2 linked regions of the Ovis aries genome follow. The protein of the gene in region 1 purifies or fractionates together with the protein of each later gene. This does not show direct contact. Links are inferred from orthologs where the notes say so. Each region holds a gene or a part of one and is shown on either strand. Other genes may lie near its edges.

Evidence for each region.
Region 2: the proteins of GTF2A1 (region 1) and TBPL1 purify together in Homo sapiens (affinity purification with mass spectrometry; 5 studies listed by BioGRID and IntAct, counting the BioPlex papers as one, with this or other methods). This does not show direct contact. The link is inferred for Ovis aries from reciprocal best matches to the Homo sapiens genes GTF2A1 and TBPL1.

The regions. Positions count from the first base shown.
Region 1 is NC_056060.1:90,691,941-90,696,394, reverse strand, and holds the start of GTF2A1 (transcription initiation factor IIA subunit 1), read left to right. Parts: upstream 1-1,567; 5' UTR 1,568-1,982; coding exon 1,983-2,012; intron 2,013-2,995; exon of another isoform or gene 2,996-3,069; intron 3,070-4,454. UniProt on the Homo sapiens protein: TFIIA is a component of the transcription machinery of RNA polymerase II and plays an important role in transcriptional activation. TFIIA in a complex with TBP mediates transcriptional activity.
Region 2 is NC_056061.1:59,381,989-59,386,470, forward strand, and holds the start of TBPL1 (TATA box-binding protein-like 1), read left to right. Parts: upstream 1-1,669; 5' UTR 1,670-1,896; intron 1,897-2,643; exon of another isoform or gene 2,644-2,842; intron 2,843-4,482. UniProt on the Homo sapiens protein: Part of a specialized transcription system that mediates the transcription of most ribosomal proteins through the 5'-TCT-3' motif which is a core promoter element at these genes. Seems to also mediate the transcription of NF1. Does not bind the TATA box.

The sequences.
Region 1 (4,454 bases):
GTTGCAAAGAGTCAGACACAACTGAGTGGCTGAACAACATAAAGAACACTATCATTTTCTGTGATTTATTTTTTTCCTTATGATGCTCCCAAACAAGCAACTCTGCAGGGAACTGAGAAGCAAGTGAGGTTCCTCCAATATGACCTTAGAGACTATATAACTTTGACATTTTGTTTTGCTTTGCCTTTTGAGGATAAACTCCCTCATTTGTCCAGACTACATTCCCTGCCTCTGGAAATTCCCTATGGACAAAAAAATTAGGTACTGTTAAGTTCCACCTTTTAAAACACAGAACATTCTCTGTTGTGTGAAATGCTGCTATAAAGGCCGGTGATTAGCTTCCACAGAGTAGGTCAAATGTCTATTGAGCTGCACCCCAAGACAACAACATTTTCTGCCCGCTTTTTAGCAGCAACAGGCCCTATCAGTTACTGGGGATCAGAGGCCGGGGATCAGAGGCCCAGTATTTCAGATGTTAATATGCCTTGGCCACGTGGAGTCACTGAACTGGGGCAACGTTTTTAAAAACTGGTGGGACTTGTGCAGTCATAATCCCGGTGATCCGTTTCGGGTTGGAGAGGGAGGGGGTGGCTTTTTCCACTGCCTTGAGAAGTCATTTAAAGTACGTGGGATAGTAGGGCCCGGACCTTTGGGAAACTTGAAACCCAGAGGATGTACCCGCGGAGACAACTCATCTGGCTTCAGGTGTCATTGATTCTGGAATGTGTTAAGGTGGGGAGGGGGGTGGTGTGGCAAATCAGCTTTCATCCCTTTTAGGAACTCGGTACAATTCTGCAAGCTAAAGACTCAGGCCAGGCGAGAGGTGCCCACGCCTCCGAACGTGGCATCTGAGCTGAGCTCCTCTTCAGAGATGACTCCGCATTTGAACCTCTGCCCACGGTCCAAGCCCGCGCGGGCGACGGGGTGGGGCACGTGACCGGCTCTCCTCCGCGGCCATGCCTAGTGGGGCGACGGCCACTGTCCCTTCCACATCTTCGAGCCCCTGCAGCGCCGGACGGCGTATAGACACCCTTCAGGAGGCGGTCACCCAGCTAGCTCTGGACTCCAAGGTTAACAGCACTCACGCCTTTTCTCCGGCAACGGTTAGCGAGCCCCTATATCCCGAAGCCGGAGAAGGAAATGGCAACCCACTCCAGTATTCTTGCCCGGAAAATCCCACGAACTGAGGCGCCTGGTGGGCTTACAGTCCACCGGGTCGCAAAGATACGGACCCGACTGTACCACCTCTCCTTACTTCACTATTCCGAAGCAGCTGCCCGAAACTTCCGCCTGGGTGCCGACCACGTGATCACGCGAGACTTGGGGAGGCGGCGGGTCTTCACAACTTTAAGTCGGCCCCGCCCCTCACGACGCCTTCCACAGGGCTCGACAACGCGGCCTGCGGCGGCCTCCGCCCCGGCGCGCCTGCGCACGCGGCTCTCGCGGTGTTCTCGCGCTCGGCCCCGCCCACCGCTGCCCCCGCCCTTTCCGCCCCTCCCTCCCCCCTCCGCCCTGTCTCTCGGCGGCGGCGGCGGCGGCGACGGCTCGCGCAGCTCGTTGGCTCACTATATAAAGGGGAGAAGCGGGCGGACCGGACGGCTGGAGCTGCAGCCGGTGGCGGCGGCGGCGCGGGGAGCGGCGACTGGTGGTGGTTTCCCTCCTTGGCGCGGGGGTGGGGAGCGGGCAACGCCCCCCGGGACCCCTGAAGGGTCGTGGCCTTTTTTTTTTTTTTTTTAAAGGGCGATTCTCGAGTTTTTTTAGCTCCGGGAGGACTCCCCCTCCCTTCGTCCTCCCCTTCCTCCTCTCGCCGCTCCCCTCTCCTCCGTCAGGATCCGATTTTGTTTGAAAGATTTTCCCCTCAGTTTTGCGGTGGCTTGGGTCACCCTCGAGTGTTTTTTTTATTTTTTTCCTCTCTTTCGTTTTGTTTTCATCTTGTTTCCTCGGGGTGGCCCCCCCCACTCTTGTTTGTGTTGTGTGTGGAAATGGCGAACTCGGCAAATACAAACACCGTGGTAAGGACGTGGTTCGGTGGCCGGCGGGGGCTTCGTTCAGGCGGCGAGCAACGGCCGGACCGGGCGGGGGCGGGGACGGCGGCGACTCCCCGGCCTCGACTCTCCTCAGCCGCCCGCGCGCGGCCGCCGCTTCCCGCCTCGGGCGGCGCGGGCCGGGGCGGCGGGGCGCGGGGGGTGGTGGGGGGCGGGCGCCGAGGCTCGCGGAGGGGGCGCCGGCGGCGGGGAGGGCTGGGGCGCCGGCCGGGCCTGGGGCCGCCGCGGGGCGGTTGGGCCGGGGCGAGCGCGCGGTCCCGGCCCTGGACCCCCCCCGGCCGCCAGGAGGGGAGGGCAGGAGGGGAGCCGCCGCTTCCCTACCACCCCCCTCGCCCGCCCGCCCCCGAACCGGCAGGAGAAGGGGCTCCCCGCGAGCCGTCTCAAAAAAAAAAAAAACCGGCGTCTGGGGGAGCCGGGCGAGTCCCCCCTCGAGACCCACCGCGATCCACTGTTAACGCGGTGGAAGGCGAATGGCTACTCTGGGGGTTACTCTGAGGTGTTCTGGCGGTTGTGCTTAGGGAGCCTTCACTGGGGCCATTTTATGTATTATTGGAAAAAAAAAAAAAAAAGACGAAGGTTGAAAAGCACTTATTTCGGTTCCTTCCGAATCGGTAAAATGGCGAAGGGGAAGCAACCCCCAACGTCGTATATACCTCCGACTAGCAAAAGCACCAAAACAAAACAAAGCCTCCAGTGGTCCAAAGTGCCCCGCTTTCGCCTTGAAATCTGCCTACTTGCCACCGTTGGTCCCTTTTTTTTTTCTTTTTTCCTTACTTGCGATCACGTAGGTTTGCAAAAAGCAGTCACATAAATAACCTTGTCTGTCAGTCAACAACGCAGTGTGATCACGAGTCCACCCCCACTCTCTTTTATTTTTATTTTAACAATAAAACAAACGTTTCTGCCCGGTCCCAAACGCAGACCAGCCCCGCGGCAGCCCGGCCCCGTACCGTTGACGACTCGGGTCGATCCATCATGGCTGCGGCCGCTTACCCTGCTTTTCAGTCCCTGAGCCTTGTGGTCCTCCTCCCTTTGGCTGCCCTGTTTATATAGAGCCATTGCCGCTCTCTAATATAGACTCTGCCAGGATGGGAAGGTGCTTTTCAGGCCTACGTCACCGCCTCTCCATTTAAACACCAGATCCGGCTTTAAATAGTGAGAGCTGCTGAGAGCGGGGCTGGGAGGTGCGTGCTCCCGAGGCGAGAGGCAGGCGCGTGCAGAGCTCACTTTTATTTCTAGGTCCTTTTCTGCCTACTGTAATTTCGTGCCCAGTCAGGGCGGCCTTCGCAGCCGCAAGTTTTTGTTTGGACGCAGCAGCTGGGATTTGCCGGTCTTTGTTAGGGGAGAATAGACTTGCCGTCTCTTCTTTTTATTTTTGTTTTTAAAAACAATTTTAAGCTCAGATGTCTAATCGTTTCTGTATTTAAGAAGGTACATGCATTATTGTCAGTTATTATTTTTTTTTTTAAGCTTTAGCTTCCAGCTGTAGAGGGTTTGATTTTGGTAGTATTTTTTTCACCGAGCATTCAGGACATATTAGAAATACAGCTGCTAATATTTCATCATGTTTTCCTGTAATAAATGTTTGAGACACACACCTTTTCAAAGAAATAGAGAAGTGCCTAAACCTTCGACGTAGAGTCTTATGTCTACAGTACAGTAATTGTTAGGGGAATTGTGAGTAATGTGAAGAGGCTTAGTGCAAACTGGGTATTAAAAAATTAAAGTTCTAAGTAGACTGTTTTTGCTGCATTGCATGTTCATATGGTATCCCGTGTAGAAATTAATCCAATTTATTTTCCAGTATTGTACTAGGAACTAACACTTTTGAAAGAAATTCTTTGTTACTTAATGACGCTAATGGCCCTTTAATTCACGAGTTTGGAATATCTGGTATTTGAAAACCAGGACAAACCTCAATTACTGTGTATTCCATAAAAGGCAGAAACTGGTTCAAGTAAAGTTTAGTGTTTTAAATAATAATTTGGAAATTGCTTTTTTCAGATATTGCCTATGTACTCGCATACTCTGAAAGACAGCAGTAATTTGGGTGCTTTTTAACTCCTGAACAATTTAAAATTCTCTGTGTACTTAATGATGAATACACATTTCCCTTTAACTATAGTGCATACAAATGCATTAAGTGGTCAGGTTGTGGGTTAATTAAAGCAGAAAAACAAAATATTAAAGCAGGATCGTTTCATTAACTAGGGAGTGCCAGAAGAAGGCACATTGTACCAATAAATGTGCAGATATCCAAGCAGAATATTTAGGGATGACTAACTTCAGAAACATTACAATTATTTTGCTGAAAAATTAATTTATATCGTCAATATGACATTTATACTACCAATTTAAAATTACACTGCATCTTTATAATGCTTTGAATCATTGGTTAAAAAAACTTTA
Region 2 (4,482 bases), on another chromosome or scaffold:
TCCTGACCTGTCTGTGACAAAAGGGGAGTCCAAAGCAGTTGACATGCTTGATACCAGCTATATTGCTGGTCTCTTGTAAAGAAGGTGACAGGTAAAGACCTTAGTCATGGTTACCGTAAAGCTGACTTATCCACAGTGGCAGTGATCATTGGAATAGAGCCTTTCTCCTGCCATTTCCTTGGTAAATCAGACCATGCCACTCTACCACTTAAAACCCTTCAGTTCCCCCAACATTTGAAAGAAAATTCAAACTCTCTTACACATGGTCTGGAAGTCACTGAAGGTACAAGCCTTAGTTTCTTGTCAGCTTTGTCTCATGTCCGATTCCCCTTGCACTCACTGATCATGATGCCCCATCCAGGCTACTCAGTTCAGTTCGATTCAGTCGCTCAGTCGTGCCCGACTCTTTGCGACCCTGTGAATCACACCACGCCAGGCCTCCCTGTCTATCACCAACTCCCAGAGTTCACTCAAACTCATGTCCATTGAGTTAGTGATGCCATCCAGCCATCTCATCCTCTGTCGTCCCCTTCTCCTCCTGCCCCAAATCCCTCCCAGCATCAGAGTCTTTTCCAATGAGTCAACTCTTCTCATGAGGTGGCCAAAGTATCGGAGTTTCAGCTTCAGCATCAGTCCTTCCAATGAACACCCAGGACTGAACTCCTTTAGGATGGACTGGTTGGACTTCCTTGCAGTCCACGGGACTCTCAAGAGTCTTCTCCAGCACCACAGTTCAAAAGCATCAATTCTTCTATGCTCAGTTTTCTTCACAGTCCAACTCTCACATCCATACATGACCACTGGAAAAACCATAGCCTTGACTAGACAGACTTTTGTTGGCAAAGTAATATCTCTGCTTTTGAATATGCTATCTAGGTTGGTCATAACTTTCCTTCCAAGGAGTAAGTATCTTTTAATTTCATGGCTGCAATCTCCCACACAGATAGCTCTAGCCTGTCTTGTTCCCTCCGCCTGGAACACTGTGCACCCCTTCCATTCCCCCTCAGATAACAACCTGAAAGTCATCTCCCCACTACTCCACAGTCATGACTCTCTAACCCAGCCTCTTGCTTGCTGTCTTCATTACACCTAATACAAGCTATAATTATTTAATACTGTTCAAAGAATAAATGACTATAGAAACTGAAACAGATCAAAGTTCCATAATTCTACAGTGTCTTTAAATGCTCACATATTTTACTGAATATTCAGAGTAGGAAGGAAAAGATCTATAGGCATCCTTGGAGACCCCATAAATAGGGAAATACTCAAATGGTTGCCTCCTCCCCAACCCCTCAGAAGTCAGCCCAAGTCATCTATTTCAAAAAGAACTGTGGTATTAGCATGATTCATGGCGGATGCACACCAACCAGAGGCCAGGTATTCATGAGGCCCTTAGGGCCTTTTATTAAAATTAGAGCTGCCCACTGGTCTCATCCAGGGAGAGGCTTTTAACTGCAGCCCAACTCTGAGCAGAGGCCTGTGCCGGCCCGCCTGGGAGTGGGACTCGGGGGCGCGGCGGGTATCCGCACCGCTGCTTCGCGCTCCCGGACCGTTAGTCCGGTCTCGCTCTCGCAGGCAGCACCCTTCAAGTGGCCCCCGAGGGGCCCCGAGGGCCCAAGCGCGGCCGTTCAAACTGGCGAAGTGTGCGCCTCTGGGAGTCCCCCGGGTCATTCCAGGGCCACTTGGGCGCGGAGCCGCGGAAGGGTCTCATTCCTCAGGCGCTCGGCTTCCGTGTGAGCAGAGCCGCCGCCGCCGCCGCCTCTGCTCAGCAGCCCGGACCCAGCGTGCAGCGGCCCTCTCCCTCCTCCCATCCTTCTTGGATCCGGCTACACGGCTTAAAAGCCTCTCAAGTGCTTCCCGACTTCCAAGGCAGAGTCCTGACCGCAAACCCAAGTTGAGTATGGAATATCAAAGGGGCAGGCGACAGAAATGTGACCTAACCCCTATTATCTATCACCTATCTATCTATCTATCTATCCATTCTTTTACCTGTCATATCCTATCACTGTATTTTAGGACTAGGATTAGCATTCCTTAACGAGAGTTTGATCACGTAAGTTAACGCGTTTAACCGAAAAAGCGGTCGGACTTTTTCAAAACAGAAAATGTATTCGTCAGAAGTAGAAAACAATTTTTAGTTGTTGAGGACCAGCTTCGCTAACTATATTGAATGGTGGACCTTTTCTATGAATTGAATGAGCTAACAGAAGTGGCACGGTTTTGCCCCACCCCCACCCCTCAAAATAAAAACCCTAAAGTCCGTTTATATTACACTGTATGCCAGAAATTACGTACTCATGTGTAACTACTAGCTAAAAATGTACAAGGGATGCACAGTTTTTTCGAAATCTTTCCAGGCGGTTCTCAAGCAAAAGAAATCTAGCTTATTACACACCTTTCCTCACTAACCCCACCTCGTCAAGCCCTTAGGCAGGCCGGGCCGACCCGGACACCAGGAAGGAGGAAGGGAAAGTGGAGGAAGAGGCGGGGGAAAGTGACGGGAGCAGTGAGAGCCGGATATGACTGGCTAGCGAGGAACCCAGGAGGGCTCTGTCCGGCGGCGCTCTAGCCGCCGAGCGTTGTCTCTATGCTCCCCCGCGTCTGGTCTATTTATTGTCGCGGGGAAGCAGCGGCCGCCCTGTACCCGGAACAACAAAGCACGAAAGACGGAGCCCGAGCCTTCGGGGCTCCTAGCAACCGGCCGGGGCAGGAGTTCCATGGAGACTGGGGAGCGTGCTCGCCTCATCATCATCCTTATCCTCCAGCTTATCCTTCGCGTCCGCCGCAACCGGCAGCAGCGCTGCCGCCGCGTCCTCTGCCGCCGCCCGCTCTTCCCACGGTAACCCGGTCGGCGACCCTGGGCGGGAGGGGTAGCGCGGGCTTCGGGGCTGCCCGAGTGCCGGTTGCGGGGCGTCTTGGCGCGGGGCGGGCTTGTGCGGAGCCGCGGGCATGCTGGTGATGGAGTGTGCGGGGGCGGATGCCTGGGCGAGGGGGAAGAGCAGCTCCGATGCGGGAAATTGGTCCAGCGGCCGAGGGAGGGTCCAGCTTTCAGGAGGACGGGGTGATATTTGGGGATCTCGTCTGGGATAACGGGGTGGGGGTGGGGCGTCACTGCCTGGGAACGTTATCCGGCGGGGTGTGGGATAAGAAGAGATATTTTTATTTCTTGGGTTAGCCACCACTGGGAAAGACTGGAGAAGGGAGATTCCCCATCTTTCTCTGTGGAGCCCTCACCCAGGGGACGAGAAATCGTGCAAAGATGCTAAAAGGGTCCGTTGCTTCCCAGAAAACTTCATGCGGCCTCGGCCGCGGCGGGAAGGCTCCCAAATAGCACCTTGGTCGTTCCTACTTTTGGCAATGCCTGCAGCACCTCCCCCCACCCTTTTTTTTTTTAATTTATTATTAGTAGTAGTATTAACCAGAATTAGGCTTGATGAAGGATCTGAAACTGAGGAGGATAAAATGGGTAGGACGTAGGACTAAGCAAGGTTGAGAACCGGGGTAAGAGCATAATAGCCAGTAAGAGGTCTAAAAGTAAATTCGATTGGAAACGACGGTTTTTAAACTCTCTCCTTCTGCTGAGATGTGCTTCTGCGGGCTCTGTCAGTGTGTTCATTGCAATAGGATTCAGACCGCAGCCAATCCACGTCTGTGAGCTCTCTGACTGCATCTGTCACCTGCAGTTCTAGAGAGACACTGGCAATTGACCAGCGTGGGCTTGGGTATTTAGGGTTAAGAAGAGTGACTTAAAATTGGCTCAAGGAAAGAAAAGGAAACAAGCTTGGTGTGATTTTTGTTTGCAGAGAGAATGACATTTTCCGTGGGGAAATTGAAAAAGAGAAATATGAGAAGGTTTAGCTAATTTAGCATAATCTGCAGCCTTTTGGAAAGTTTGAGAAAATGGCAGTTAAATCGAAAAAGGACTTTTATCATCGCTCTGTAGTTGAAAGAATTATTCACAGCTGATATCTTGCTTACCAGTTTGTGCCATCTCTTTAGGCCTTAGGCCTCTGTTTAATGGTTTTATGCTTCCCAAACCTTTCTAGGTCAGTAAATGAGGTTTTCCTGTGGCATACTGAAATGGCCATATATGCATGCTACAGTAATACTATTTTTGTGTCCAGCAGGAACAAAGCTCTTTAGTTGAAGATTAAAGATGAAAAGAAAATTGATAAATCACAGAAGCAATGATGTCAACCGTGGTTTCTCTTTGTCCCTTACTTTTTTTTTCCCTCTTACTTTTCCCCTAAGTCTGGCTTGTCTTAAGCAAAAACGTTTCATCCTGATCCCCCAAACCCCTGCTTTTGTATTCTGCCCTCAAAGTCAGTCTCTGAGACTATCATGATCTGCTGCTTTGTGCTCTTGATTGGTTGATGTCAGAATCGAGTTTTTGGCTGGGTATTTTCATGGAATTGAGGTACAGCATCTCTTATTAAACCAATTCCGTATATGTGCAAAGAGGTGGCAGATACCTTTAAC